5 linked regions of the Callithrix jacchus genome follow. The protein of the gene in region 5 interacts with the protein of the main gene of each other region in a biochemical or structural test. Links are inferred from orthologs where the notes say so. Each region holds a gene or a part of one and is shown on either strand. Other genes may lie near its edges.

Region 1 (6,173 bases), about 17 Mb from region 5:
GGTAAATTGGATTATAGGGAAAAAACTATAAACACTTAAAATGCTAACCATAAACACTTTTCATTTATTTATAATCAATAATTAAGTTTGATGTTTTCTTTATCAACATAAGCTAGACTAAATCTTTTACTGTCAATTATCATTTTAATATGCACTGGAAAATTACCAGAATTGTATTCCTTATAATACCTTGTAATTGACTAAACGCAAACCAGTTTGCTCTTATGACTTTTTTCTTATAACTTCAATTCCCTAAAGTTTAAGAAGTAGAACAAAAGATAGCATATGCTACAAGAATATAGCTTAAACATGGTTGAGTTGACATTTAGAAGGAAAAAAAACTGTCCTGTGACAGGGAGGAAAAAAGACTGTGAGATTGTTTCCTGGTTACTAAAGACAACTGCCCAAAAATAGTTTACTACCAGGAGTCAACCAGCTTCTTGATAATATTTGACAGTTTCATCAAATACTAACAATGGAAGCTGGAGATATTCCTAAAGAATGAAACAGTCTCTTTTTTTCAATCTTTTAAACAGAAGGAATTTGAGTTTCACACTGACAAAATTTGAAACTATTTAAGAAACTGCCAAGAGGAGAAAAATTATAGTGGATTTATGGATACTCCCTCCACATGTTGAAGCAAGCAGCTGCCCCAATATTTCAACCTGACAAGTCTTCAAAAGGTAGAGGGTGCCTAATGGATGATGAAAACACTCTTGCAACAAGAAAACTGAAACATTTGCAAGAGAAAACGTGCTGTAGTTCTGATGCTTCTTGTCAGAGGCAAACACATGGAAAATAGGCTGTACTCACCCATCCTGCGTGGTGTTAATTATGTCACAGATGTTCATGAACTGGCCCCAATCTTCAGTCTGAACTCCAGCAAATGTAGCCTTTTCTGCCAAGAAAAAGCTGTTGAGTCTGAGCTACAACAGAATAAAAAATGTCTGGTATTCTTGAAATAATCTGCCTAGGCTGCACTAGCAAGGGCCATTAAGTTTATATTGCCAAAGGGCAACGTGATCTTTTTCAGAACAGCTCTCAGAAATTCAGGAATCAATCAGAACCCAAGTTCAGAGCGCTGCTGCAGCAACAATGAGTGACCTATTAATAAAGACTGCAAGCATAACACCTGGCCACAGGCCCAGAACAGGCCAGCTAAATCTCTGACTGCCTGGCTTTCAGAGAAGGGAACTAAGGCTTAGTGAGCAGCTACCTACAAGGTGAACTGCATAGTGCTAAGAATTTTATCGTATGCCATCTCATTTAACCTACTGTTAGAGATGATGAGATAGAAGTTCAGAGAGGTTAGGAAATTACCGAAGTTATACAGACAGTATAAAGTAGAACTGGCATTCAAATCTAGGTTGTTTGATCCCACTGTTTGTTTTTTTAAAAAATAATTTATTCTCTGGGGACAGGAGGAAAGAACTTTTAAAGGAGAGAAGTAATGCAATGGTCTTAGGAGCCAAAACATTGGCACAACTCCAAATAAAAGTAATACATTTATTCTCCTATCATCTTAATCTCACGATTTCTTCTAATTTTACCAGTCATTATAACTTCAACCAATACTTGCAAAGACACTGCTTAACTACGTAAAAACCTCCATCACACACACTTTTACTATCAGTCTTAATTATTTCAAACTGGCACTGAATAACTATCTGGACTAATAATAATAAGCATCTACACTAACCACAGCTGGACCAGGCTGACCAGAATGCTTCTGCATTTGGAACCCTATCATTAGATAATATGGCATCTTTCCCTCTCCAGACAGCCCCTTTAAGAATACAAGATGTTATCTGGAAAGAGTAACGGAACACTTGCTATGAATGTGCTACTATCTTCCTAAGAGAAAGGACAAGATCCCTAAGCATGAAAACACAGGGTTCTGGGGGAAATGGAGAAAAAACAAAAAGGCTAGAGAAGGGGGAAAAAAGAGAAAGGACTTGTCTGGGGGAACCCCAAAGCTTAGCTTGCTTTCAACCAAGGAAAAGAACCACTTGAATTTGGCTCCAAATAAACAAAGCTGACCAATCTTGTGCTGTTAAGTATCTGTTGTTCAGTCTGCCAGACATTTCCTCTTCATTCCTCGCTCTTCCTCCCAATCTTCTTATCTTTCTAGAAAACTCCCATTCACCCTTCAAAAGCCACAGCAGAATTCATTTCCCCCTTTTTGTAAGTTTTGTGTGTTTTGCATTTTCTTGCATTGCAAAGGTGCAGCACAAAACTGTGCCCATATTCCCTACAAGAAAGTGAGTTCCCTCAGGTTTGAGACCACCTCTTACCTTGGCCTCACCAGCGTGTGATCCAAGTCCAGGCACATAGCCCATGTTTACGGAATTAAAAAATTAAGTAGATGAACTGCCGAAATTTCTTCTGCCTATGATGGGTCTGAACCCATTTCTGCTCAGGGTTCATTCTAATATCAAACGAAGTACAGCCATTAAGGGAAAGCATCTCCTCAATGGTAGCTACTGTGACCATCTTATAAAGATGTGTAAACTGGCCGGATGCGGTGGCTCATGCCTGTAATCCCAGCACTTTGGGAGGCCTAAGTGGGCGGATCACAAGGTCAGGAGTTCGAGACTAGCCAGGCCAACATAGTGAAACCTGTCTCTACTAAAAACACAAAAAGTAGCCGGGCATGGTGGCAGGCGCCTGTAATACCAGCTACTCCGGAGGCTGAGGCGGGAGAATTGCTTGAACCTGGGAAGCAGAGGTTGCAGTGAGTTGAGATCTGGCCACTGCACTTTAGCCCAGGCAGTGAGACACTACGTCTCAAAAAAAAAAAAATGTGTAAACTAAGGTTATATTTAAGCGGTGTGCTCAGTGTCAAGGCAGTTAGTTGAGCTGTGACCTAAATTTTCCAAATCTGGGCCTCTATACTACAACTACTAGGTTCTCACGATTTCATCATCCCACTTTGCCTGGCATTAATATGCAATCATGCCTCACCCAATTCCCAAGGAAGGAATCAGGGAAAAGAGGGAGCAGTGAGCTGGTGCTGGTAAGAGTCTAATCATTGGCTTCTACATACATCATGCACGGTACATCCAGAGGAGAGATAAATCATTTAGGTGGATGCCGGTGTAGTCCCTAGTGGCCTGCTAGACACCTCCATGGCCCTAGATGGCTCCTTTGTTCCCCTCCTCTTCACTCCAATGCCAAGTATCATTGTCTCTGCCCAGAAAAGACAGCCAGGTTGTATACACTTGGCGCTAGAGAAAACTGGTCTGGGGATACCTGCTCCTCACAGTAAGGTCACGTCACTTAGTCTCCGAGAGCCTCCTCTTCTGATCTGTAAAAGGGGCATAACAATACCGTGCCCTGAAGAGTGTGCCTTTAGGAAAAACTTTCGCCAGGCCGAGAAGTTTCTGGTGTCTCCTTATGGAGGCCCTAACACTCCATGCCTGACTCCCGGGGTTCACCTGTTTGGTTCCGCTCCCCAGGAGGCATCGAAAGGAAGGTACATTTTTGAGGACTGAGGTGCTAGAGTGAGTTGGCCAAGAAGGAAACGACGAAAGGGGGCCGGGCTGGAATGCGGGTGCCCTGGGAAAGTTGCGGGGGAGGGGAAGAATTTTCTCTAAGTTGGACTAACTCGGTCCTCTGCAGGCTGAGAATGGATCAAGCAGAAAAGGATCCCACGGTCCCCTGCCTGCCTGGGCGTCTCTCCCCGCGCCTCCTTACCTATGAGGTGGCCCACTGAGGTCGCGTAGGGATCCCGGTGACTCTTGCCAAACGCCATGGTATCGCCAGGAGGCCCGGTCCAGGAAATCCGCCTCCACAGCTCTCCGGCTCCCGGCTCCACCCTCTGGGTACCCTTGGCTCCTCCTCTTCGCCCGAGCGCTTCCCGGGCTCAGGCTGAGGCCGTGCGTCCTGCGCCGCCGTTGCGGGGCGCGGGAACTGGGGGTGAGGCGCCGAGCGTTAGGCGCGGGCGCCGAGCGAGGGGCAGGGACGCGAGGGCGGGGCTTCGGGACGCCCTGCGCACCTGTAGCGCGCCCTGAGGGACCCGCGAGGAGGCGGCGCTGCCAGCTGCAGGTGGTATAGGCGGGCAGCGGCGGGCGTGCGGAGCCTGCGAGTGTGACGTGGCCGCCCGCTCGGATCCCAAGTGGGCTTTTCGCCGCGCAAAAGAGGAGCCAGGCAGCCTGGGATCTCCAACCTGGGAATTAGAGACCCAGGCTCTGATCCCGTCGCTGGCTGGGCAGAGTGCCACTCCTCTGTGCACCTCTTTGGTTCCCGTTTGTAAACCAAAGATAATAGAAGGTTAATAACACAAATCTGGGAATTGTGGGCATTAAACTGATTCTTGAACGTAAACCGATTAGGTTGGTATCTGGTACCCACAAAATTAATAGTTAACCATTGAATAAATTTAATAACTAGAAATATTTACCCTTGACCTGCTCCGCCCTAGAGATCTGGGCAGGGAGGTGTGCGCCCTGCCCTTTAAAGCTGTAGGTGTTGTCTAGGAGGAATGATAGGCTTCGAATTTGGAGCTGCTCAGGAGCAAGCCCTCTCTGTCTTTCTCCTGTTTCCTCCAGGGACCACAGGGCGCCGCCAGGCAAGCTCTTGGTTTCTAACCCCACCTCCAGCGTGATTCTAAAAATGGGAGAGGGGCTTTCCTTTTCCTCTGGCAAGGAGTATGCATGGCTTTAGACCTGCTTTGGAATGTAGGTCCCAGTTGGAGAAGCCCAACACCTTTCCAGCTGCACTTTCAGAACCAGAATTTATTTCCTATTCCTTTGCATTCAGTTAATATCGGATTAGCGATGTTAGCAATCTCCAGCCAGCAGAAGCCTGCCAGAGAGTGAGGTATCCCCAGGCGATGTCAGATAGTGTGTAGATCCTGTTTCCTGTAGTCTAACTGGCACCCATTTCAAGTCTGTTTTTAGCCCTGGCGATGGTGACTATGGAGACGAAGGGGACCTGGTTTGTTTGACTTACTTCCGTGGTCTTGTGAATTTTAAAATAGAGGTCAAAACCAATTGCCATGCACTCCAAGGCACTAACATTTAATTATTTATCTCGAACTCAATTATTTATAACTTTTCTTGACTGAAGTGAGCCAAAACCTGAGATTCTAAAATCTAGAATGAAATATTCTTGTTGTGATGATATTTCTCATAATGGGATTTGTCCCACCTGTAACTAATATTCTCCCCCTGCCTATTCAGGGCAAGTAGCTATTTCAAATAGTGCTGTTTATCAACTTCCTTAGTCATCACTGCAGCCTCTGCTGACACATCTCTTTTGTGACATCACCAAGCTAATCTGTATTTGATGCTACAGCCTCTAGCAAAATACTTTGTCTTTTCTGCAACCTACAATCAACCTACGATCTCTGAAAAAGCCAATTTTAGCTTAGGCCAATGTTGGTGTCAGTGGCCTTCCACCAGACAGTGAGAACTAGGAAGGAACCAAGCATCCAGAGAGATCAATTTTTTACATACTTTTATGTGGGTTTTCTTCTCCTCCCTCCTCCCTCTTCCCTCCTCCCTCCTCCTTCCTCCTTCCTCCCGTCTCCCTTCTCCTTCTTCCTGTGTCTGATTTCCTTACGTTACAGGACTCAGGCACTGAGAAGAGGAGAAGCAGTAGCAAGGAGAGTCTTCTGGACTTGATGCTTGGGTGAACAGAACCAAGGTTGATGAGTACTACCTGTGTTCCATCTTAGCAATGCCTGGCAGAAGTTTTTCTCTCTTTCTGTGCCCTCCAGGGTGTTGTGGTGGTTGTTGCAGCCTTCTCTTCTTGTACTCTGTTCTTTTCTCCATGATCCCGCTTCTCTCCGGGGGGTGAAAATCAATGTGATTAATGTTAGTATAGTCTAGCAGCAGGGACAATAGAATTCACAGCTAAGTTAAGGTCAGAGAAGGAGCAGAATCTCACAAGGGTAAAATGGCACCAGCAGTAAAATCTTATCACAATTTCAATTCCATGAACACTTAGTAAACATTTATTTATTTAAAATGGGTTAAGTGTCTGCAACTAGAAATCTATCTTAATCTTCATATTCCTGGGAGATGGGTAGTATTAACCTCATTTTTCAAATATATAATCTGAGATCCAGAAAGATCAAGCTTATAAAAGACTTAAGTTTGACTCATGACATGGCTGCCTAGTTTTAAAGCCTATGTTATTGTCACTAGGTGAATCTGTTTATTGAACCT
Region 2 (6,341 bases), about 12 Mb from region 5:
AAGCTGGGCTATAGGGAGTTTCTCCAGGTTTTTTCCCAGTAGTGTTAAAAAGGAGGGTGGCGGCATTTCTCAGGCTAGCAGACCTTTAGGCTTTTTAACTGCTCCCTAATCTCTGCACACCACTGCCCACCAGCCAGGTGGGCAGGTGTGTGTGTGTGTCCTTAGCCCAACCAGCCAGATGTATGTGTGTATTTGCATCCTCAGGGAGGACTCTGCCAGCTAGGGGTGTGTGTGTGTGTGTGTTGCATGCATGTGTGGTCTGTGAGTGTGTGTCATGAGTGTGTGTCTTTGGATCCTCAGGGAGGACTCAGCCCAACCAGCCAGGTACGTGTGTGTGTGTGTGTGTGTGTGTGTGTGTGTGTGTGTGTTTGGATCCTCAGGGAGAACTCAGCCCAACCAGCCAGCTAGAGAGCAGCTGCCACCCTCACTATGTCCCCTCAAGGGGCTCTAGGATAAGCAGGCCACAGCCTGGGTGGGGGCTGTTAACTCTTCCCAGGGTGGCGCACCTTGGGTTGGCCCCTAGGAGGGCTGTAGGCACATGGCTTGCTTCTGGCCTCCTCCTCTGTGGTCTTGCTTGGGGACCCGGGTCTGCCCCACCCAGCCCTGTGGCTGGCTCAGGTTGAGCAGCCTCTGTGGCAAGGGGCTTCAGGAGGGAAGGAAGTCAGCTCTTAGCTGTCACAGGAAGTGGGGAGCTAGGGGTTGAGGATCATCTTGGGGCAGGCTGGCAATCCTTTAGGGGAAGGCTGGACTCTGTTGGGGCCCAGGGAGGGTGAAAGGGATAAGTGCCATGGAGACTCACCTTGCAGTTAGGACTTGACTTCTTGAAGACCCTAACAAAACAGAAAGGGAAACCCCACTGCTTCCCTCAGACTCAGCAGGCACCCCACACCAGGACCCTGTCCCTCCCAGGCCTGGGAAGCAGAGCTCACCCAGGACTCCTGCCTGAGGCTGCAGGGCTTTGCCCAGCTCTGCCCCTTTCCACTTCTTCCTGTAAAGTCCTTCCTATTTCTAACATGACAGCAAGGAAAAATGCCCCTTCTCTTGTCCACCCTCCTTAGTCCCCTTCCCTCCCTAGTAATGGCCACTGATTGCCCTAGGAACCACCCAGGCTCTTCCCCAGGCACCCGAATGGGCAGGTTGCCGCAGCATCTGGGTAAGACCTAACCATCTTTCCATCGGGTCTACAGCTCCAACAGCTGGAGCATATAAGAGAGCAATGACCCTGGACTTTGACCCTCAAATGGTTTCTACCATAGGCCCTAGCCCAGTTCGACTCTATCCATTCACCTCCAACTGTCCCCATCTCCGACCTTAGCAGCTTAAAAGCCTCTTTGTCTTTTAAGGTCCAGCCTTTAGGAAGCTGACCCAGCCCAGACCCTGGTCACTCCTTGTTTTGGGTTCCTGGCTCAGTTTGTTTATGTTTTACTTGTGGTGTGGCAGGACACAAGGGCAGTTAGCTGCCTCCCTCCTCAGACTGTGAGCCTTAGAGGCCTTATTCATTTAGGCATCTGCAGCACACTGCCAGCCACATGATGATGATGATGATGATAATGCTGGCTAACATTACAGGGTGGGTACTCCATGCCCAGCACTGTTCCAAGTGTTTCAAACGTGTTATCTCTTTTAATAATCTTTTCTTTTGAGACAGAGTCTCACTCTGTCGCCCAGGCTGGAGTGCAGCGATGCAATCTCTGCTCACTGCAACCTCCACCCCCTTGGGGTTCAAGAGATTCTCCTACTTCAGCCTCCCATGTAGTTGGGATTACAGGAGTGAGCCACCACGCCTGGCTATATTTTGTGTTTTGAGACTGAGTCTCACTCTATTGCCCAGGCTGGAATGCAGTGGCGTACTCCTGGCTCACTGCAACCTCCACCTTCCGGGTTCAAGCAATACTCGTGCCTCAGCCTCCCAAGTAGCTGGAATTACAGGTGCCTGCCATCATGCCCAGCTAATTTTTGTATTTTTAGTAGAGATGGGGTTTCTCCACATTGGCCAGGCTGATCTTGAACTCCTGACCTCCCATGATCCACCCGCCTTGGCCTCCCAAAAGGCTGGTATTACAGGCTTAAGCCACCACATCTGCCCTATATTTTGTATTTTTTTAGTAGAGACGGGGTTTCCCCATGTTAGCCAAGCTGATCTCCAATTCCTGACCTCAGGTGATCCGCCCATCTCGGCCTCCCAAAGTGCTGGGATTACAGGCGTGAGCCACTGCACCTGGCCCATTGGGTTAAGCGTATTAAAAGAAGGCTGGGAGCAGTGGCTGATGCCTGTAATCCCAACACTTTGGGAGGTTGAGGTGGGCAGGTCACTTGAGGTCAGGAGATCCAGATCAGCCTGCCCAACATGGGGAAATCCTGCCTCTACTAAAAATACAAAATTTAGCTGGGTGTGGTGGTGCGTGCCTGTAATCCCAGCTTCTTGGGAGGCTGAGGCAAGAGAACTGCTTGAATCTGGGAGGCAGAGGTTGCAGTGAACCAAGATTGTTCCATTGCACTCCAGCCTGGGCAAAGAGCAAGACTCTGTCTCAAAAATAAATAAATTAATTAAATAAAATAAATAAAACAACCCAGTGATGGAGGTCCTAATATCTCTATTTTATAAGTGAGGAAACTGAGGCAGAGAGAGGTCAAGTGTTTTGTTTAAGGTCACAGAGAGAGTAAATGGTGGGAATTCATATAAACCCAGGCAGTCTGGCTCCAAGTCCATACTCTCAATCAATATTATACTATCTGTCTCTGCAGTTGGCATTAATAGTTTGTTGAATTGAAGAGTATTCGCTTTCCAGTTGCTGAAACAACTTCAGCCTGGATTCCACCCATGGCTGGGTAAGGAAGGGTTTGGCAACCCCAGTTAATTGTGGTCTGTTCTTTGAAGCACCACCTTGCTGCTTCTACTCTATTCTGCCTCAGCAGAGATAGGAAAAGGTCCCAGATAGTAAAAAGTGAAATCCTGCCAACTAGCCCATCCCTCCTCCAACTCTACCACCCCATTCCCAGAGGACCCAAATGGGCAGGTTGCTTAAGTGTCTGAGTAAGACCTAACCATCTTCCCATCTGGTCTACAGCTCTGACAGCTGGAGCACATAGGAGAGCAATGACCCTGGCCTTTGGCCCTAAAGTAGTTTCTACCATAGGCCCAGTTTCCGCTACAACTTCACTTGCCCCTTCTTCCCAGAATGTCAAGTTGTCCAAAGCTTGTAAGGCAAAGGGTATGGAGGCCCCCAGGTATTCCCAACCAATAAAGGAGAATAAACATCAATATGGCGGCATCTAGAATAAACACCCTATCTTTTGTTCCAGCTTGGGGGCTTAGTGCCGTGGCATCATCCAGGTTCTCCTGCCTCTTTGCTTCTGGTTTTCCTTTGTCCCAGGGTGTCCTCCCATTAGGAGCCCTGGCACAGGGCTGTGACGGCCACAATCAGTTGGCCCACTGGAGTGTGGCTCTGGCGCAACTGTCCTGGAGCAGCTGCAAGGCACCTGCCCTTTGGATCCTAACCCAGCCACCTTCTGCCAGGCTGGGGAAGAGCAGCGTGCATATACTAGGCTGGACAAGGAGGGGGAGCATGGGGATGACCAGGGAGGTGCCCAGTGGGAGGCAGGGGGTAGCTGAAGCAGACGTCCTTTCACACTTCCTGCTCTTCTGTTTCCTGTGGCCCAGAATTTGATTGGGGTGCAGGAAATTGTGCCAAATCAGCAGTCCCTTTGGTCCATCTGTCCCACTCCCTGAACCACATAATGGAAATCTGGGGCCTCCCACAAGTCAGCAACTTCCCCTTTCTCTGGGGTGTTTAAACCCTAATCCAGGACACCGATTATTTCTCTGATCATCTCTTTCTGATACTCGTTTACTTGATGCACAGAAATCCAGGTTCTCATACTCCATAGGTTGGAAGTGGGGTCGACATGATGTTTTGCAGAGCAAGCAAGAGCTCAGGACCAATCCCCATTCCTGAGCCCCTCTGGGTTGAGGCCTACAGCCCCAACCTTTTCGCCTTTTGCTCCTGCTCCCCGGGACTCAGGCATTCACCCCTTGCCCCTTGGGGGTGTTGAGTCACAACAGGAAGTGGATTTTGCTAGAGACCAAAAAAGAGAACTCAGGGTGTCAGTGGAAGGAAAGAGCCTCGATTGCACAGAAAACATCCGGGGAGTGGACGCGTGCCCAGGGTGAATACTGCCTCCACAACCCACAGAGAGAGGGATACGATCCAGTTTCAGGGAGGGTCGCCACACACACGGCTCCCCCAAGATGAAGCTGTTGCTCCTGGCAACCCAGGGAAAGGTAGAAGTTTGGATGAGGAGCCGCTCGGCCTTGGGACAGGTGTGGTCAGCGCAACTGCCTGGGGGATATTGGACTGGAGGCTTTCCATTGGCTTGGAACGAGTCTAGAGGTGATCCCCCCTTCCGGCATCCAGCCTCCGGTACACGACCCCTCAGGGCCAGCCACCTGCTCCTCCTTCCTCTGTCCCTGCAACGCAGCCTGCACCGGAGAGCCCAGTAGTCCAGCCCCACATCCCTGCGAGAACCCCGACACCGGTTTTCTCATCCCCCGCTCAAGCCTCGCTTTCTGCAGGGGCCCGGGCATTTCCCCCCCACCATTATCCTCGAAGACCTGCGCGTGCGGCCCCGGATGGCTGCCCCTAGGGACCCAGGTGTCCGGCCCCCAGATCCTCTCCGCTGTGTCCTCGTCTGGGACCGTACCAGCACCCGCCCCGAGCCACCGCCCATACCCTGCCGCGTGGCCCCACCTCCCTTACCTGGTGCCGGGTTTCTCCCCCATGGTGCGCGCGCCCGCCGCCCGCTCGGTTCGCGGCTGGCTCGCAGCCTCCTCGCCCGCTGCCAAGATCCCTGCTCCTCCCCGCACCACTGCGCACGCGCGCCCTCCGCGCTCTAGCCTCTTCCCCTCCCTCCCGGCCCGGCTCTGGTCCGGGGGAACCGGGGCCAGATGCGTCAGCCGGATCGCGCGCGCCGCGGCGCAGCCCGCCCTCTCCTAGCAGACACTCGCGCCCATTGGCTCCGCCCCCAGCCTTTCGCGCTGCGTCCCAGGGGGCCCGCTCCCCCTCTTCCCGCCCATCTCCCCGCCCCACCGCAACCCCTTGGAAACCGATTGGACCTCCTTAAACCAATGCACCCGCCTTCCAGGGGATCGAAGTCTTTCGATTGGCCCTGGGCATCCAAAACCTGCAGGGGGTCTCCTCCCTTTGGTTTGCTTTCTCTGTGGCGGCGGGGGCGACGGGGATGTTGGGGCTGCTGGAATGAGCTGGAGAGCCGTCTAAGAAGGAGGAAAGAGGGGATGCACACGTGGGTGAGCGGTTCAGTTACGTGATGCTTGCTTCAGTGCGCGCCGCTCGTCCGCTCGCCTCGGAGCGTGCCGCTTTCTGTGGCCCGGCCTCCCACATCTTTACTGCAGTTTGTCAGCTCCCTCTGATGTCTACATTTGATCTTTGCAGGGTTCCCTGTTCCAATTTCTCTATCAGTCTCCTTCAGCCACTCATCCCAGGTAACATCCACTCACTCTCTCCCATCCACACCCATCTATCAACCCATCCATCCATGCCTATTTTTATTTTTCTTTTATCTAAGTTTTCTTGTCGCCTAGGCTAGAGTGCAGTGGCACGATCTCGGCTCACTGCAACCTCTGCCTCCGGGGTTGAAGCGATTCTTCGGCCTCAGCCTCCCCAGTAGCTGTGATTACAGGCGCTCGCCACCACGCCAGGCTAATTTTTGTATTTTTTGGTAAAGGCAGGGTTTCACCATCTTGGCCAGGCTGGTCTTGAACTCCTGACCTCGCGGTCCACCCACCTCGGCCTCCCAAAGTGCTGGGATTACAGGCATGAGCCACAGCGCCCGGCCATCCATGCCTATTTTTTGCTATTCGCTATGCCAATTGATGGGGACACATAGAATTTACCATGGCCCCTGCCTTCCTAGAATAGTTGAGGAGACACATACACAGGTATTATGATCCCAGGAATGCTATTACAGAGGTCTGAGTCAGAAGACACAGCAGCTAACAGTGCTTGGCCAGGGCAGGGGTGGAGGGAGTGCAGGCTGTCTAGAGTGGAGAACATTTGAGGACAGTGTTTCTGAAGGACGGTCAGTTGAGAAAGGCCATTCCAAAGAGAAAGACAAGGCACATCCTGTTGTGAAGTGTTGGTGAAGAAGCCTGGAACAGGCTGCGGAGGATTTTGTATAGCAGATGGAGTGAGATTGAGGGCCCTGCAGTAGGACACATGGGACCGGTAGTGGTTTTAATTTTTTAATTTTTTTTATTTTTCCGGTAGTGGTTTTTAAAGCAGAGGGGGCTGCGCGTGGTGGCTCACCCTATAGTCTCAGTATTT
Region 3 (6,200 bases), on a different chromosome or scaffold from region 5:
ATAACTTTTTGCAGATTGACTAATGATGGGTTTTAGGGCTGTTCTTTTATTTCTTTTCTTTTTTTTTGAGATGGGGTCTCACTGTGTTGCCCAGGCTGGATTGCAGTGGCGCGATCTTTGCTCACTGCAGCCTCAGCCTCCTGGGCTCGAGCAATTCTCCCGCCTCGGTCTCCAAAGTTACTGGGACAACAGGCACACGCCACCCCGTCCTGCGAATTTTATTTTTTGTAGAGATGGGGTCTTACACTGTTGTCTGGGCTTGTTCTGCTTCTTTACTCTCCTACTCCCCTAAAGAGTTTTCAACCAGAGGCTGAGTGCAGTGGCTCACACCTGAAATCCCAGCACTTTGGGAGGCTGAGATGGGAAGATCGCTTGAGGCTAGCAGTTCAAGATCAGCTTGGGCACACACAGTGACATCCCCATCTCAAAAATAAAAAGATAAAAATAAGAGTTTCAACATCAGAAAAATTCTTTTTCTGCTCCACTCCACATCATCCCTACTCACCTCACCCAGGTCAAATCTGGCCAGTCACATGTCCCACAGAATGTAAAACACCAGAAAACACTGACCTAGACTATCCTGTTGGGCTGTCCCTGGATAGCAAGAAAACATGCCACTCATGGGTGGAAACTTTCACAAACCTAATTTCTATCACTGTTATGGGTCAAACTCTTATGCATATTTCTCTTGCTCTAGTTTTTACTTATTTGAGACTCTAGAAGAAATGGGTTGTTATAAAATAATATCTATTTATTTATTTTGAGATGGAGTCTAGCTCTGTCGCCCAGGCTGGAGTGCAGTGGCACAATCTTGGCTGACTGCAACCTCCACCTCCCGGGTTCAAGCGATTCTCCTGCCTCAGTCTCCCGAGTAGCTGGGACTACAGGTGCTCGCCACCAGATCCAGCTAATTTTTGTATTTTTAGTAGACATAGGGTTTCACTGTGTTGGCCAGGCTGGTCTCGAACTCCTGACTGTGATCCACCCACCTTGGCCTCCCAAAGTGCTGGGATTACAAGCTTGAGCCACTGCACCTGGTCTGTTTATTTTCTTACTTCATTTATTTAAAAACAACAATAGGCTGGGTGCCATGGGTCACGCCTATAGTCCCGGCACTTTGGAAGGCAGAAGCAGGAGGATCGCTAAAGACTAGGAGTTTGAGACCAATCTGGGCAACACAGTGAGACCCCATCTCTACAAAAATATAAAAATAAAAGGAATATACACACTGTTTCATGGAGCAAGAAGCCTCATACAACCAGGCAGCTAGCAGACGCACTAACATCCAAGACAGACAGAAAACTTCCTTCTTTTCAGGGGTCTGGTCCATGAAATCAGAGAACAAGCCTCAAACCCAGCTGGATCCTGGGAGGCAGAAGTGAAATGAATGACCATCTGCCACTTCCCTCCTGGGATAGGATCACCAGGTAGGGGAGACCCCCTGCCTCACACCATTCAGACACACCTGCGTGGGGCCACCTTCTCTTCTCCTTTTTCTTTTCTTTTTTTTTTTTTTAGAGATAGGGTCTCACTGCCTCACACCATTCAGACACACCTGCGTGGGGCCACCTTCTCTTCTCCTTTTTCTTTTCTTTTTTTTTTTTTTGTTGTTGTAGAGACAGTGTCTCATTTTGTCACCCAGGCTGGAGTGGCACAATCAGAGCTCACTGCAGCTTCAACCTCCTGGGCTCAACCTCCTGCCTCAGCCTCTCGAATAGCTGGGACTACAGGTATATGCCAACTCCAGGTTAATTGAAAATTTTTTTTAAAAATAGAGGCAGGATCTCATCGTGTTGCCCAGGCTCATCTCAAACTCCTGGGCTCAAGTAATCCTCCCACCTTGGCCTCCCAAAGTGCAGGGATTACAGGTGTGAGCTACTGCACCCAGCCTATTATTTTATTTTTTGTAGATACATGGTTTCACTATGTTGCCCCGGTGTGGGGTAGGGCAGCTCAGGCAAAGATTTTCAGAATAAGAAGAGGATGAAGTTCTCTGGGGGTGGAAAGGTTTATTCTTTTTTGTTTTTGTTTTTGTTTGAGACGGAGTTTTGCTCTTGTTGCCCAGGCTGGAGTGCAGTGGTATAATCTCAGCTTACTGCAACCTTCAACTCCCAGGTTCAAGAAACTTTCCTGCCCCAGCCTCCCAAGTAGCTGGGATTACGGTCGTCCACCGGCTAATTTTTTGTATTTTTAGTAGAGATGGGTTTTCACCATGTTGGCCAGGCTGGTCTCGAACTCCGGACCTCAGGTGATCCACCAGCCTAGACGTCCCAAAGTGCTGGGCGTGAGGTATCACACTATGCCAAAAGCTTTATTCTTTGAAAGATTCCATATACAGAACCCTCAGTCAGATTCTCACATCTTTTCTAACTCAAATCCCAAAGCACTTTCCCTCCAACCGTGTCTAGGGGAAGTATTCCTTACACATCAGGGGACCAGCCTCTGGCAGTGGGGGACCCAACTGGGTCTTCAAAGGTTCCACTCTGAGCGCAAGAGTGTAGAACAAATCTGCCCCTCCAACATCGGCACTGGGATTAAAAGAAGCGTTGTACTCTTTGAAATGGATTTTACATACAAATGAACGGATGAACAACATCAACATGTCAGCTTAATTCAGTCCAATCAATACACCAGGCATTAAAAACTCGGAGGTAAAAATGGATTGTGGCTTTTTGTTGATGACAATGAGGAATTTTGGCCCCGAGCCCTGGTCAGGCAGGACAAATAGGGCAGTCTGCCTAGTAGCTGTCAGGCACATCTTGGCGAATAAAACCAAAACCCCAAATCAGGGCTTGGGGCACCATGGAGCACAGTGGTTTCCACTTTTGCCCCCAAAGTCATTTTCCCAGCTTGGCCACACTTTGCATTTCCTGCATTCCTTTTCCCTGCTCCGACCCTTCGTCGCGGCCTCAGAGCTGACAGCTGGGGCTGGCCAGAGCCAAACAAGAGGCAACGAGAAAGGGGGATGCTGAGGGGTGCAGGTTGGAAGGGGATGTCAGTGCAACCAAGAAGTGATAGGAGGGGAGGAGAGGTCCCTTCACCCTTCACACTCCCAGTCCGGCGCCCCCACTCTCCGCCCCCACACGTGAGTCTCCAAGTGGCTCCCGTGCGCTTCCGCTGTTTAGGGGCACCCTTTCCATTCCGTCCCTTTTCAGTTCCTTCCCCCCCTCACCTCCCCTTGGGACCCCTGCCGGGTCCCCAGCCGCTCAGGCTCCGCTTGGCCGCACGCATCCTGCCTTCTCCTCCTAGCCCGCCCCTGACCCTCCTGCCCTTCTCCCCAGGCCAGCTGGGATACCCTGGGGTCCCCGACATTCCTGGGATCGCCCAGATCTGTACGCCAATGTCCCCGCTCACGACCCCCTCGCTCCGTCCTCAACTGGGGCCTGCAAGACTCCTATTCCCTTCAAAGCCCTTCCCGGACACCGCGTCCCTCAGGGTGCCCCAGGGATGCCCCGGGGTCCCCCGTCCTCACCTGAGTCCGCTCGAAGCTCTCGCGCTCCGCCGCCTCCAGCCCGGCGCCGACCCCGCGCCGGCTCAGCACCTTGGGCAGCGGGTTGGGCACCTGCTTCATGGAGCTGGCCATCCGATCCATGTCGCCGTGAGGAGCCGAGTCTGGGGCCCTCGGTCGCCCCGGGATCCCCACCGCACCGCCCGCCCCGCCCTACCCGCGGGGATCCGGCGTTAACGGGACGGCTCCCGCCTGCTATTGGCTGTGAGTTCTGCCAGTCTTCTTGAGACCCCGCCCCTTTCCGAAAGGCTTCCCCGCCCGCCCCCTCCCCAACCGAAGCCCCTCTGCGGGTCAGCCCCGACTGGCCCCTTGGGGCCTCGAGGCGCGCGGTGACTGGTCTGGAGTCCTGTCAGTCACCGGGGCCCGGCCGTTCGCGGCGGGGCCGGGGCGGGGTGCGGCCGGAGCGGGGCCTGGACGGGGCGGGGCCTGGGGGCGGGCTGCCCTGATCTGCCCTCGCTCGCCCCGCCCCCGCCCGCGCACCACCCTCTCCTCCCAGCGCCCGCGGTCCCCGCGCGCCCAGAGCGCGCTGCCCTCCGCCGAGCGCCGCCCACTGCCCTGCCTGCTCCTGCTGGGGGTGCCCCGCGAGGGCCCGGGGTGGTAGGCGGGGATCACGCAGGCTGGGAAGTGGGGCCTCCCCTGGGGGAATCCCGGCCCGTCTGCGAATAGCTCGTTAGCTCTTTCCGGGCCTGGGACCGGGGAGCGCCGGACCAGCTCCGCGGCCGCAGCCCCGAGAAGCGCAGCCCGGCAGGCTGGCGCAGCGTGGGCGCCTGGCCGGACCCGACCTCAGTGGGTAGCCGCCTCCACCCAGCCTCCAGGCTTCCCATCCTGCCCCTGTCCATGCCTTCTGCAAGGATCGCAGAGCCCAGGTCCGGGAGCTCAGGGCCGAGTCCGCGGGCACCTTCCAGGACCTCCCTTCCAAACCTCATCAAATGAATCCGTCAGAACTTATTTGTTGGTAGAAAGCCCTACAGGCACTTTCTGTTTTATCTTAGGCTCTGAGGCGCGCATCGCATCCTGCTCAGACGTCAGCCAGGGTACCAGCAGGCAGAGAGAAGTGTGATGCTTAGCAGAGACTCTGGAGAAAGTTCAAGGTTTTGGTTAAATTCCAATTTAGGTATTTTTGTTTGTTTTCATTTGGAGTCAGTCTCTCCCTCTGTCGCCCAGGCTGGAGTGTAGATCATAACACATCGTGGCCTTGAGCTCCTGGGCCCTAGCGATTTTCCTGCCTCGGCCTCTCGAGTAGCTGGGACTACAGGTGCACGCCACCACGCTTGGCTAATTTTTTTGCAGAGATAGAGTCTTCCTATGTTGTCCAGATTGGTCTCGAACTCCTCGCCTCAAGCGAGCCTCCCACCTTGGCTTCCCAAAGTGCTGTGATTACAGAAGTGAGCCACAGCACTTGGTGTAGATGCATTTTTTTAAAGTTATTTGAAACTCAAAGTAATGAATGGCACCTTTAGGCATAACAATTTGGTGATTCAAGTGTATTTTTTTTTTAATTTGATCAGGCAAGGTGACTCACACTTGTCATCGCAGCGCTTTGGGAGGCTGAGGCAGATGGACTGCTTGAGCTCAGGAGTTTGAAACTAGCATGGGCAACAGAGCAAGGCCCCATCTGTACAACACATTTTAGAATTAGTTGGGTGTGGTGGTGCAAGCCTGTAGTCCCAGCCACTCTCAAGGCAGGAGGACTACTAGAGCCAGGGAGGCAGAGGCCATAGTGAGCAAAGATCCGGCCACTGCCCTCCAGCCTGGGAGACAGAGCGAGACCCCATCTCAAAAAAAAAAAAAAATTACTTCTTTGTAGTGAAAGGAACGTTGCTGGGTTGCCCAGGCTGGTCACGATCTCCTAGGCTCAAGTGATCCTACCACCTCAGCCTCCCAAAGCACTGGGATTACAGGTATGAGCCATCCTGCCCCGACATTTGGGGGGGGGGTCGGGGGGGAGGGAGTCTTGCATTGTTGCTGGGCTGGAGTGCAATGGCGTGATCTCAGCTCACTGCAACCTCCACCTCCTAGGTTCAAGCGATTCTCCTGCCTCAGCCTCCCAAGTAGCTAGGAGTACAGGTGCCCAATACCATGCCCTGCTAATTTTTTATATTTTTAGTAGAGATGGGTTTCGCTATGTTGGTCAGCTGGCCTCCAACTCCTGATCTCGTGATCCGCTCGCCTCAGTCTTCCAAAGTGCTGGGATTATAGGCGTGAGCCACTGCACCTGGCTTTTTTTTTTAATTAATAAGAGCGTTTGGTAAAAATTCACACATCAGTAGAGAAGTGAAAAGGAGGCAGGCATTTGCAGTTACCAGGGAGCCACTGAAGGCTTTTGCTCAGACATTTGCACTGAGGAGCTTACATTGTGGGATGGATTGTGGGGGCCTGATGGAAGGGAGGAAATCAATGGGGACCTCTAGCATTGATGAGAGGCTATGAGGGCCTAGAAGAGAAACGCGAGGAGGAAGTTCTGTCTCATGGGAGGTTACCCAAATAAGACCTGGACACGGGGATCGGGGATGGGCGATGGCAGTGCCATTCAGGCTACATTTGCATGGCAAGGACTGGACTGGTTTCACCCTTACTTAGATTGTGTTTCTGTGGGAGGCTTTGTGAGTACCCCCTCCCCTGGCTTTCTTTGGGAGAGATTAGATGTCACCTGATTCTTTGTGTCAGTGGAGAGGCAGATGACAATTAACAG
Region 4 (5,380 bases), on a different chromosome or scaffold from region 5:
GAACATTTTACTAAGAAAAAAAATCAAAAGTATGAAGATTTATATAAAATCTTGTAATAACAAAAAGCTGGAAACTGAAATAATTACCAAGGGAAATCATACACTAATATGGTAACTATTAAAAGCTAACAATCATTTTTCCTAAGAATATTATTCAATACAGGGAAAATGATCATAAAGTTGAGTAAGAACAGCAATAAACAAATCAATATAAAGAGAATGATTTAAAGTATTAAAAATATGCTTAGAAAAGATGGAAAGCAGCTGGGGCATGGGGGTTCACGCCTGTAATCCCAGCACTTTGGAAGGCCGAGGCAGGTGGATTACCTGAGATCAGGAGTTCAAGACCAGCCTGGCCAACATGGTGAAACCCCATCTCTACTAAAAATACAAAAATTAGTTGGGTGTGGTGGTACATGCCTGTAATCCTGGCTACTCGGAAGGCTGAGGCAAGGAATTGCTTGAACCTGGGAGGTAGAGGCTGCAGTGAGCCGAGATTGCATCCCTGCACTCCAGCCTGGGTGACAGAGCAAGACTCCTTCTCAAAAAAGAAAAGACAGAAAGAAATATGTATTGGCCGGGCGCAGTGTCTCACATCTATAATCCCAGCACTTTGGGAGGCCGAGGCGGGTGGATCACGAGGTCAAGAGATCGAGACCATCCTGATCAACATGGTGAAAACCTGTCTCTACTAAAAATACAAAAATTAGCTGGGCATAGTGGTGCACGCCTGTAGTCCCAGCTACTCAGGAGGCTGAGGCAGGAGAATTGCTTGAACCCAGGAGGCGGAGGTTGCGGTGAGCCGAGATCACGCCACTGCACTCCAGCCTGGGTAACAAGAGTGAAACTCTGTCTCAAAAAAAAAAAAAAAAAAAAAAAATGTATTAATGGCAATTACCCCTCAACTGCAGAATCAGATGATTTTTGTTTGTCCATCATATTTGCCTATATTTAAAAAAAAATCTGTACAGCAAATTTTTATTTTAGTGATCAGGTCCTCAAAACTCTCCACAATACAATAAACGTTATCATGGCAAGAACAAAATATAAATTAATTCGGTGTGCCAGGAGGAATATCCAGTAAATATTTTGTGAAAATATCTTAAGTGAACAGGCATTTGGTTAACTGTTAGTTACAGTTTATATCACGTATTTTTATTTCAGTTTGAAGTACTCCTGGCATTAGGGCAAAAGACTGCAAGTACATAAAGAAGTGGGACGTCTTAAGGTAACTTACTCTGTTGCTGAATCATTGTATTGAGTGATGGCTGTTGGGGTTTGGAAGGCTGCATACCAGGTAGTAAGTTGTCTAGGCTGATGTTTACACTGGGGTCAGACCAAGTAGACGGCAAGGTTTTGCTGACTGATTTCTGGACCATATCTGTATTCTGATTATAGAGAGGATTAGGCTTCTGCAGCACTGTGCTAACATTTTGCAAAGGCTGGAAAATAGAAAAATGCTCTAAAAATTAAGCATCTGTTCTATTAAAATTATCAGATGGCAATTTAATCACAATAATGAACTTCTGAAACAAAGAGAACCAGGAATTTCTATGCTAATGTCTTCAATACCCCAAATCATTAGTTTCCCAAAGAGGTTCCTCTGAAGTCCCAATCAGGTTTGAAGTGGATAAAATCAACAACTTACGTACACTAACAATTATTCTCTCATCACTCAAAGTCTAAAAGTCACCATCCCTGGCAAATGCCCAGGGGAACTACCAATTACTACCAATTTTAGGTTAGTATGGCTTTAAGGAGATACACAAGTGGAAATTTATTCTTTCCAAAACAGAATTGAGAGGCCAGGTATGATGACTTACGCCTGTAATCCCAGCACTATGGGAGGCTGAGGTGGACGGATCATCTGAGGTCAGAAGTTCAAAGACCAGCCTGGCCAACATGATGAAATCCCGTCTCTATTAAAAATACAAAATTAGCCAGGCATGGTGGCACGTGCCTGTAGTCCTAGCTACTTGGGAGGCTAAGGCAGGAGCATAGCTTGAACCAGGGAGGTGGGGGTTGCAGTGAGCAGAGATCGTGCTACTGCACTCCAGCCTGGGCGACAGAGTGAGATTCTCTAAAAACAACAAAACAAAACAGGTATGATGTCTCACATTATACAGAGATATAAGGCAAAACTGTCAAAAAGCAATTTATATTTCACATATCTGACTGACATTTCCCTGCTCTGTGTATACTTCTACTACCTAAAGTGAGCAACACTAAGTGAACCTGATATACACAGACCAATGTATGGGAAACAAGAAATTCAGAGGAAAGAAGCAGAGGTACTCTAGTCTGGGCGACAGAGAGAGACTCCGTCTCAAAAAAAAAAAAAAAAAAAAAATAACAGAACAGAAACAGGAGAATAATTTATAATTTAAAAAGTACCAATGCAAAGAATTATGACAGTTACAATTAAGGCTGCAAATAAAATAGATCGGCTTTATGCTTAACTCATATATTAGGTCTTATTTCTGTTTTACAGAGCAGTCACCTTTCTGCTTCTTTCTTCTTTTCCTTCATCCTAATACCCTACAGAGGAGAATCTACACATTAAAATGAGTAAATAGCATCATAAACACATATTCTCAATAGTTTGAGTCAAAAATAGCAAGTTCCTGGTACAATTCAGACACGTATTTTCCAAGCCCACACTTGTTTTGAATTCTAAGCTAGTAGTAGACAATTTGGATTTAACTATAAAATAGTGAATGAAGAAGCTCTCATTTTAGTTTTTCTTTATGAAAATGAAAGTTGAAAGATGAGCCTATAAAACATTTATATAATGTAGAGCAGGTCCAGAATTGGGAAGAACATTTGCCATTTGAGGGAATGATTTTCATATTAGCAATGATTATTTACAATCAATGAGTGATATTTCTTTAGGGACATGACCAGGTATTTTACTAAGTGAATACTTGCCATGAGTGAAACAATATCTCCATTTCTTTTTCTTAAAGACAATTTAAAAACACTACTAAATACCAATTTGTCATAACAACACATTTTTGGCATGTTCCTCCTCTGTACAAAGGCACCATGCTTGGCTTTATAGTGACTACAAGATGGGGGGAGAATGCCTTGCCTTCCAGAATGTAAATGACTATGCTATGGGAAAGAGTATAAGGTAAATGAAACGTGCAGATGCATACACACACACACACACACACACACACACACACACACGGCTTGCTTTTCTGTTTCATACTAATCTATCATTAGATGAGTTAAAGAATCTCAAAGATTATCAGTAACCACTTCCAACGGAACCAGACAACTTACCTGTGATCTCGACATGGGCAAACCAAGTCCCACAGTATTAGTGCTCATCATTGAGAAATTCATACTCTGGGAAGATGTCATAGTTGCCTGGGATGAGCCCATAAGATCAAACAGATCTGAAGAATTTGAGGCAGAAGGAGGTGGGCCTAGAGCTGGTTGTGAGCCACTAACAAGTTCTACTGATGGCTGGGAGGCACTGCCAAAGAACTCGCCACTGGAAGCAACAGGACCTGATGGGGCTTGGTTGAAGGCACTCCAGTCACCAAAGTCTCCATTCCCACTTGTTGCTGTTACTAAGACAGAAATAACTCTAAGGATAAGAAACTTCATGAAATGCACAGAACAAATATAACAATCTATGAACTGAAACAAATTAGAGCTGATCTGAGTCCATCCAGATTAACATCTGCAAGTACTATCTCCATCTGGACAGTATTCTTTCTCATAAATATTACACAAGAGTTAACAAGGTGGCAAAAACAGAACAAAAAACCTCCCAAATATAAAGTAAAATCCATCTCTTAAAAGCTCTGTAGGTGACACATTGAAATTATCATAAAAAGTCCCCTTCAATCAAGTATGCAACAACAAATATACTTCCAGCTAAACAAATATGATCTAGTCTGGGACTCTGAAAAGCAAAGAGAAACCTCTAAACTAGTTTAACTTTTTGTTGGGAGCTCTAGAATCCTCATGTGAGAAGATACTCAGTAGAATCAGAGAAAACTCATTGAGTTTATTATTTGAAAGGTTCAAATAGAAACCAAACTACAATTTATACTGTCTCATGTCATTTGTAAAACCCCAAATTCATAAGATTAAATTTTTTAAAAAAATAACCCCATACAGAAAAACATGGAGGAAAAAAAACTAATAAAATTATGAATAGGGGTAGTAAATTTCTATAAGAAGTTCTCACTAAGGGATGGGTGCGGTGGCTCACGTCTGTAAGCCTAGCACTTTGGGAGGCCAAGGCAGGTGGATCACTCGAGGTCAGGAGTTCGAGACCAAGCTGGCCAACATGTTGAAACCCCATCTCATCTCTGCTAAAAATACTAAAAAGTAGCTGGGTGTGGTGGCACATGCCTATAGTCCCAGCTACTCAGAAGGTTCAGGCACGAGAATCGCTTGAACCTGGGAGGCAGAAGTTGCACTGAGCCGAGATTGTACCACTGCACTCCAGCCTAGGTGACAGAGCAAGACTCGGTTTCCAAAAAAAAAAAAGAAGTTCTCACCTATTTGGCCATGCTTCTACTGATAACACCGGGGCTATAACCATGATATAACCTTAGCACATTGCCTGCTTCAACTGGGACTGGTTAATTTATTTACAATAAAAGAAAGGAGGAAAACTCATGTAATATTAAAAAACACAACCAAGCCAGAAACAAGCACAACCCTATCACTGTACTTTGCAAGTTGAAGGTTGAATGCATAAAATCCATACGCTAAATCACCACAGTCTTATCAATTAACCTCTTATCAATTTTTATATTGAAAGAAACAAATAAATATAAATGAAGTTGAAAAAGCAAAAGGTGAAGAAGGAGCTACATAAAAACTGTCATCTGAAAGCAAATAGTAAGTATGTACCTTCCAAGTTAATTAACACCATCTCTTTGTACTCCATGTTCATTTACAACTTGGAAATACATTTTGTCTAGCCTAAAAAGTAACCAACCACTACAATATCATGTCTCATTATGCTAAATATCAAAAGAGAATAACGCAAAGTCTTTAAAACTATATTCTTCTATCACCATATTAAAATGTAAGCACCCTCGAAAGAAAATAATTCACTTAGAAACCCCAAGTTCTACTAACAATTTAATATAAAAACTGGGCTAAAAGCCAGGCACGGTGGCTCACGCCTCTAAGTCCAGCACTTTGGGAGGCCAAGGCAGGTGGATCATGAGGTCAAGAGATCGACACCATCCTGATCAACATGGTGAAACCCCGTCTACTAAAAATACAAAAATTAGCTGGGCATGGTGGTGCGCGCCTGTAGTCCCAGCTACTCAGGAGGCTGAGGCAGGAGAATTGCTTGAACCCAGAAGGCGGAGGTTGCAGTGAGCCGAGATCGTGCCATTGC
Region 5 (5,570 bases):
TTGCTTACTAGCTGCTGAAGGGTCTCACACACAATGCATTTTACTCAGGTTTGCCCTAAGTTCCAGTGGTGACTCCAGTTTGGTTCAACATAATCCCAAGGCATTGTCCCCCACCCAAATCTTTTAAATTTGTTTCAATTCTCCTTTACCTTCCCACCCTTTTCTAACCATAATTTGATAACAGATATAAGAAGTTTGTTTCATTTATACTGGGATGGAGACAAGCCAATGAAGGAAGCAGCAACCAAAAGGTGCCTGAATTTGACCTCCTTGGGCAAGCCAACTGATAAACAGGAGAGCAAATTTTAGCTAGCTTCAGAAGTATGCCTTAATACAGAAAATAGAAGTTAATACTTTGTTAGAAATAATTCATGTTGCTTAGCAACAATTATAGCAAGCTTGACTCTCGTGATTAAAAAGGTTTTGATTCTTCTTAATGGACTAGCACCATAAGAACCGGACACCTGGAGAAACATGAGGAAAGTCTCTTCGGAAGCAGCTAGTATCTCTTGTGTCTACTTTCAGCAAAAAATTAGTAAGAATCAAGAGATCAGAAACTGGATCACAGTCCTTCAATACAAAAAAAAAAAAAAAATCCCCAAAAAGCCTTTTAGGGCATATATATACATATATAAATTCAACAACTGTCAGGCAAGCTCACAAAGTAAAACCAGAGGCTGTTTTAATTTACTTTAAGTATTATCATAGTCCTATTATGGTCCAGATACCCTGACAGGGAAGATAAATTTCCTGTTACTTTGGAATTAATATGGAAACTCACCATACTCAGTTTTTAATAATATATTTAAGAGAGACTGTGAACCAACTACTGATTAGCCTCCTGCCCTTCCTAAAGCCTATTAGCCGATTAGTAGCAAACATCTATTAATGTCCTACAGCTCTATTAAAGTTATGTTTCAAGGGACTTGCAGAGGCTTTAGTGAAAATTTATTGGGGGGAAAAAGCAGCAGCAGCAGTGTAGAAAAGGAAGGAAAAAAATCATGCAAATTCCTTAGACTTAGTCCTCCAGACTTAAAGATGGAAAAGAATCAACTTTCACCTTTTCCTTTATTGCATCAACCTGCAAAGGAATTCAGAAGGTGCAGCTTAGAAAAAAAATCAAATTCCATATTGAGCATAAAAAGGTAGAATCAGCAACAAAGGTTTAGGGAAGAAACATCTAACCACTAAAAAGGTATGAGAGAAGTGAAAATAAAGGGCATACTGGAAGCAAAATTTAGAATTGTAACTTCAAAGCTTACTGCAGAAAAATTTATGCTACAGTACGAAAGAAAGCAGCTTAATCGCTAGTAAAATTTACAGCACTTAGGTTAACAGCAGCTTAGAGACAGGTCTTACAAGTTGGCATTATGTTTAAGAAGCTATGCTCATCTATGGCTAAGATAAGGCAACATGTTTTTTCTTTTACGCTGGATACAGAAAATGTTAATTCTTTAAGAACTTTAAACAGACACAATGGTATCCTGAGGAAAAATTCAGTATAGTAGAGGTTGTTGGTATTGCTTTTTTCCCCTCTTAGGCAGGCTGAAGGGATCAGATGTGAGACTCTGATTTTAAGCATGTTTTTTGCTTGACGAAAAGGATCCTCTAAAACCATTTAAAAATGTTCTACAGAGAGAAAGCTAGTAAGTGCTGAAGATAGGGTGAGTAAAAAATATTCTAACATCAAAAAGGGACACTAAAATGAACAGTGAATTTTATAAAGACATTATACCCCCAGCTTGTTTAATGTGTTCACCTATTATATTTTTAAATCAGGGGTTAAACTATCAAAAAAAATTGTGAAGATTAACAGGACGTTAAGAATATACAAGCAGCTTCCCCAGGGGAAATAGGCATGGACATCATTAAAAGTCAAGAACCAACCAAATAAAAGGGAATCTAGAATACTAGTTATGAAATTTGAGTAAAAAACTGATTTTGAGAAAGATGCTATCCTGAAATAAAATGTATCAAATATTTCTTTTAAAAAAAACCCAAAATACCGATTTTCACCTTCATGAATACACTGTGGGTTAACAGCTACATTTGAGGTCCCTTTCCAATCAGTGTCTTTTGTCAGCTATTAAAAAAATTTTTCAAAAGAACAGGAATATTTTATGATTGACTAAATGACTGACTTCTAGAGAAAAAAACATTAAAAAAATTAACGTGCATGTAGAATTTTACATATCTGCAAGAAAACTAGTTCTGAATACACTTAGAAGAGTGATTACCTTTGTCAAGTATTCCTTCATGACCTGGATAAAATAGGGCATGGCAAAATCCATGATATTGTGCCTCCATGCAGTTTCTAGGACGACATCTGGCCTTAAAAGATCGTAACAGGTAAACAGGCAAGCTCCAAAGCACTCTCTTTTTTCTTCCTGCAAAAACCACTGCAGGAGTTCTTCAGCTAACTCGGTATCTTTAGATTCAGAAGCATACTGCATTGCATCCTATTCAAAGAAAATCGTGAAAGTCAAAAAACATTAGACCCAACATACTGAATTAGTAAACCAAGAAAAACAATAGAAACTTTCCAATATAAATCTGGTTTGCAAGGGGGGAAAAAAGCCTCCTAGTTATATCATTCAAATTAAAATTTCGAAAGAACAGATAAGCTAAAGGCCCTTTTTCCCCCAAACAAGTTTGGCCTTAACATAAGACAGCCCTTAAAAGTCAGTTCTCATATTCACAAAACCAATACTTTTATTTATAGAACATAATCTCTTGTAACACCCATTCTAGGCCCGGTTTAACAGCCCCAGCCCCACAACTTTATCAACCTTGTAAAGGCTGTCTTTCTTGCACAGTTCTACACTCTGTTTCCAGCGATTGTTGCCTTTGAAGAGGTAAGCAGCAATTCTCCTGAACTCAATGAGTTCATGTTTTTCCAAACGCTGAGCAAGCGAGATATTGTCAAAGTTGTCATAAGCATCTATTGATGTTCGCAGAGCCTTTAAAAAAAAAAAGAAGCATCCAAATGCCAGATCAGTATTTTGTTCAACATTATATTCTGTCCTTGATCAAAGACCTCCTTAGATGGTAACATGTAATATGACACTTAGATTCAAGCATCAAAAGGTAAGTTTCTTAATTCTATGACAATAAAGTCCTCAAAGGTAAAGATTTCCTAAAGATACCATTTTCTCCAAGATTTTCAGTATCAAGGACTAACAATGGCTATGAAATTGACAAGATTTCTAATTTGGAGGGTAAGATTTTTTTTTGAGAAGGAGTCTCACTCTCAGGCTGGAGTGCAGTGGGGCGAGCTTGGCTCATTGCAATCTCCGCCTCGCAGGTTCAAGCAATTCTCCTGCCTCAGCCTCAGCCTCCGGAGTAGCTGGGACTACAGGCATGCACCACCATGCCTGGCTGATTTTTTTGTATTTTTAATAAAGACCAGGTTTCACTGTGGTAGTCAGGCTGGCTTGAACCCCTGACCTCGTGATCCACGTGCCTTGGCCTCCCAAAGTGCTGGGATTACAGGCATGGAGGGCAAGATTTTATGCTCTAGAGAAACTTCTGATAAAACCCAGCATGGCAGCAGTACAGATCTGCATGCGTTGAGCCTCAAAGAAAATTGAGAGAAAAAAGAGCAAGTAGCTTAACCTTAACTCTACTTGACTTTTGCTTATATGAAATCCTTCAAAAGAGAAAGTTTATACAAACACTAATAAAACATTAGGCAAGAAAAGCAGTGAATAAATGCAGTTAATACCAAGTAAGTTTTATGAATTAAGTGATCAAAGACATTTTTGACTCTACCTATAATCTAGATGTTAGAGATAAAGTAATCATTTTTCAAAAGCAGTATTTTGAGCAAATATTTGAGCAAAAGCAGTATTTTGAGCAAAATTGCTCGGAAAAGCAATTTCTGAGCAAAATTCTGAAAACTTGGTACTTAATTAGAAGAAGGAAGATTTATCAATACTGAAACCTTACTAAACTTAGATCCTAGGGTATGCAAGCACCTACTGTTTACAATCCTAAATGATAATGGCTTTTTTAAAAAACGGGAAAACATAACTTTATGTGTCTTGAGAATACGTGCAAGAATCAAAAGGTTTTACCTGATAATCTTCTTCTGTAATAAAAAGGTTGTTGAGTGATTCATTCACAGATTTGTTGTTATGGTTCTGAACTGAACGTAAATATGGTTTCACCAGTGGTAGCTGTTTAACCTTTAAAATAAAGAGTTACAAATACAGCACATTTTTGAAGTCCCAGGGACAAAAGTTATCCAAATATGTCCTAATTCCTTGCTATGAAACTTTGGTTTAAAATTACTACTTTACCTTGCTGAAATAATTGACTGCACGAGTGTGATCCAGCCGTGGAGACAGCACCATCAGCAAATCATTTAACAACAGAGGCTTGAATTCTAAGTAGAACTGTATTGCTCTGTAGTATAGTTCCACATTGGCAACCTACAATGGGAAAATTCATACATAAGTCAGTTACTTCCTAATGAGCTTTCTCCTTCTGAATCCTTTATCTTCTGAAGAAAGTACACACCTTGGTAATGATATCTTTGAATTGCCCTTCTTTCCAGGCATCAGTTGGATGATTCATCATGGTAATTATGGCATTATCATATTCTTCATACTTGTCATACAAAAACACCAGTTCTGCCCAAAGATGAGCTTGTTCTGCAGCTCTTAGCACCTGCATAATAAGCAAGTCTTTAGATATAAGTCTAGCTAACAGCGTTAAAAAGAAATATTTTTAAGTATTAGTTTTAACTACACAGTTGCTTTACTGTGTTATAATGACTGGTTACCTTGGGAATATTCACTCTAGACCAGAACAGCTCCAGGTGCTCCCTCATTTTCTGAGGCTTAAATTTAGAGTACAGAATGGCTAATTCGGTAAACATTCCCATGTGAGCTCGCTCAAGTCCCAGTGCTGCTTCCAGCATCGTAATCAGCTCTTCAAAATATCCACGATCCTGAACAAGAGAAATGGGCAGTTAAAGGCAAGAATATCTGTGGTAAAAGATCTGAGTCATATAAAAGTCTCTAGTTAATTACCTGATAGTAGTTGATAAGTTCTTCTAATTCATCTGCATGTACAACAATATGAAGTCCGCACATCTGAGCAAGGCGGAATTCTTTCCCATCTACACAGGCGAAGCAGACCTAGAATAAACATTTCCTTTCTGTGAACTCAAATGTAAACATGGCTACTTACTTAAACTAATATTTAAAGAGCAGTTCTTTAATGCTTCCCTCAAACTTGGGTTTAGGTTACCTCTTTCCATGTTCGAGTACTGTTAGCTTTCCTAGCTCCATCAACAGCTGCCTGATATTCACCCAGGTGAACGAGGGTAGATGCCAAACGTCCAAAATTGGAAACATTATTGTACAACAGCTTAGCAGCATCATACATTTTTTCATCATAACAACGGTCACCAACCTGGGGAAATAAAAAGGTAATCCACATTCAATAAGACGTTAGTGTGAGCTTAATCCTCTTTACAAATTCACACCTTCACACTGAGAAATAATTTGTTTTCCTATAGATTTTTCCTTGGAATTCTTCAGTTATATTTTGATCCTATCAAG

Evidence for each region.
Region 1: the proteins of CLTC (region 5) and TOM1L1 form a complex in vitro, tested with the Homo sapiens proteins (2 studies listed by BioGRID and IntAct). The link is inferred for Callithrix jacchus from reciprocal best matches to the Homo sapiens genes CLTC and TOM1L1.
Region 2: the proteins of CLTC (region 5) and ARRB2 form a complex in vitro, tested with the Homo sapiens proteins (3 studies listed by BioGRID and IntAct, with this or other methods). The link is inferred for Callithrix jacchus from reciprocal best matches to the Homo sapiens genes CLTC and ARRB2.
Region 3: the proteins of CLTC (region 5) and HIP1 form a complex in vitro, tested with the Homo sapiens proteins (3 studies listed by BioGRID). The link is inferred for Callithrix jacchus from reciprocal best matches to the Homo sapiens genes CLTC and HIP1.
Region 4: the proteins of CLTC (region 5) and CLINT1 form a complex in vitro, tested with the Homo sapiens proteins (2 studies listed by BioGRID). The link is inferred for Callithrix jacchus from reciprocal best matches to the Homo sapiens genes CLTC and CLINT1.

The regions. Positions count from the first base shown.
Region 1 is NC_133506.1:111,302,787-111,308,959, forward strand, and holds the start of TOM1L1 (TOM1-like protein 1), read right to left. Parts: upstream 3,787-6,173; 5' UTR 3,755-3,786; coding exon 3,697-3,754; intron 927-3,696; exon of another isoform or gene 899-926; coding exon 814-898; intron 1-813. UniProt on the Homo sapiens protein: Probable adapter protein involved in signaling pathways. Interacts with the SH2 and SH3 domains of various signaling proteins when it is phosphorylated. May promote FYN activation, possibly by disrupting intramolecular SH3-dependent interactions.
Region 2 is NC_133506.1:106,267,907-106,274,247, reverse strand, and holds the start of ARRB2 (beta-arrestin-2), read right to left. Parts: upstream 4,871-6,341; 5' UTR 4,781-4,870; coding exon 4,758-4,780; intron 831-4,757; coding exon 800-830; intron 1-799. UniProt on the Homo sapiens protein: Functions in regulating agonist-mediated G-protein coupled receptor (GPCR) signaling by mediating both receptor desensitization and resensitization processes.
Region 3 is NC_133503.1:10,646,784-10,652,983, forward strand, and holds the start of HIP1 (huntingtin-interacting protein 1), read right to left. Parts: upstream 3,657-6,200; 5' UTR 3,593-3,656; coding exon 3,473-3,592; intron 1-3,472. UniProt on the Homo sapiens protein: Plays a role in clathrin-mediated endocytosis and trafficking. Involved in regulating AMPA receptor trafficking in the central nervous system in an NMDA-dependent manner. Regulates presynaptic nerve terminal activity.
Region 4 is NC_133503.1:20,565,348-20,570,727, forward strand, and holds part of CLINT1 (clathrin interactor 1), read right to left. Parts: intron 3,582-5,380; coding exon 3,289-3,581; intron 1,443-3,288; coding exon 1,238-1,442; intron 1-1,237. UniProt on the Homo sapiens protein: Binds to membranes enriched in phosphatidylinositol 4,5-bisphosphate (PtdIns(4,5)P2). May have a role in transport via clathrin-coated vesicles from the trans-Golgi network to endosomes. Stimulates clathrin assembly.
Region 5 is NC_133506.1:94,260,958-94,266,527, reverse strand, and holds part of CLTC (clathrin heavy chain 1), read right to left. Parts: intron 5,422-5,570; coding exon 5,257-5,421; intron 5,145-5,256; coding exon 5,037-5,144; intron 4,955-5,036; coding exon 4,787-4,954; intron 4,672-4,786; coding exon 4,522-4,671; intron 4,434-4,521; coding exon 4,302-4,433; intron 4,188-4,301; coding exon 4,077-4,187; intron 2,961-4,076; coding exon 2,790-2,960; intron 2,460-2,789; coding exon 2,238-2,459; intron 1,082-2,237; coding exon 1,061-1,081; intron 1-1,060. UniProt on the Homo sapiens protein: Clathrin is the major protein of the polyhedral coat of coated pits and vesicles. Two different adapter protein complexes link the clathrin lattice either to the plasma membrane or to the trans-Golgi network.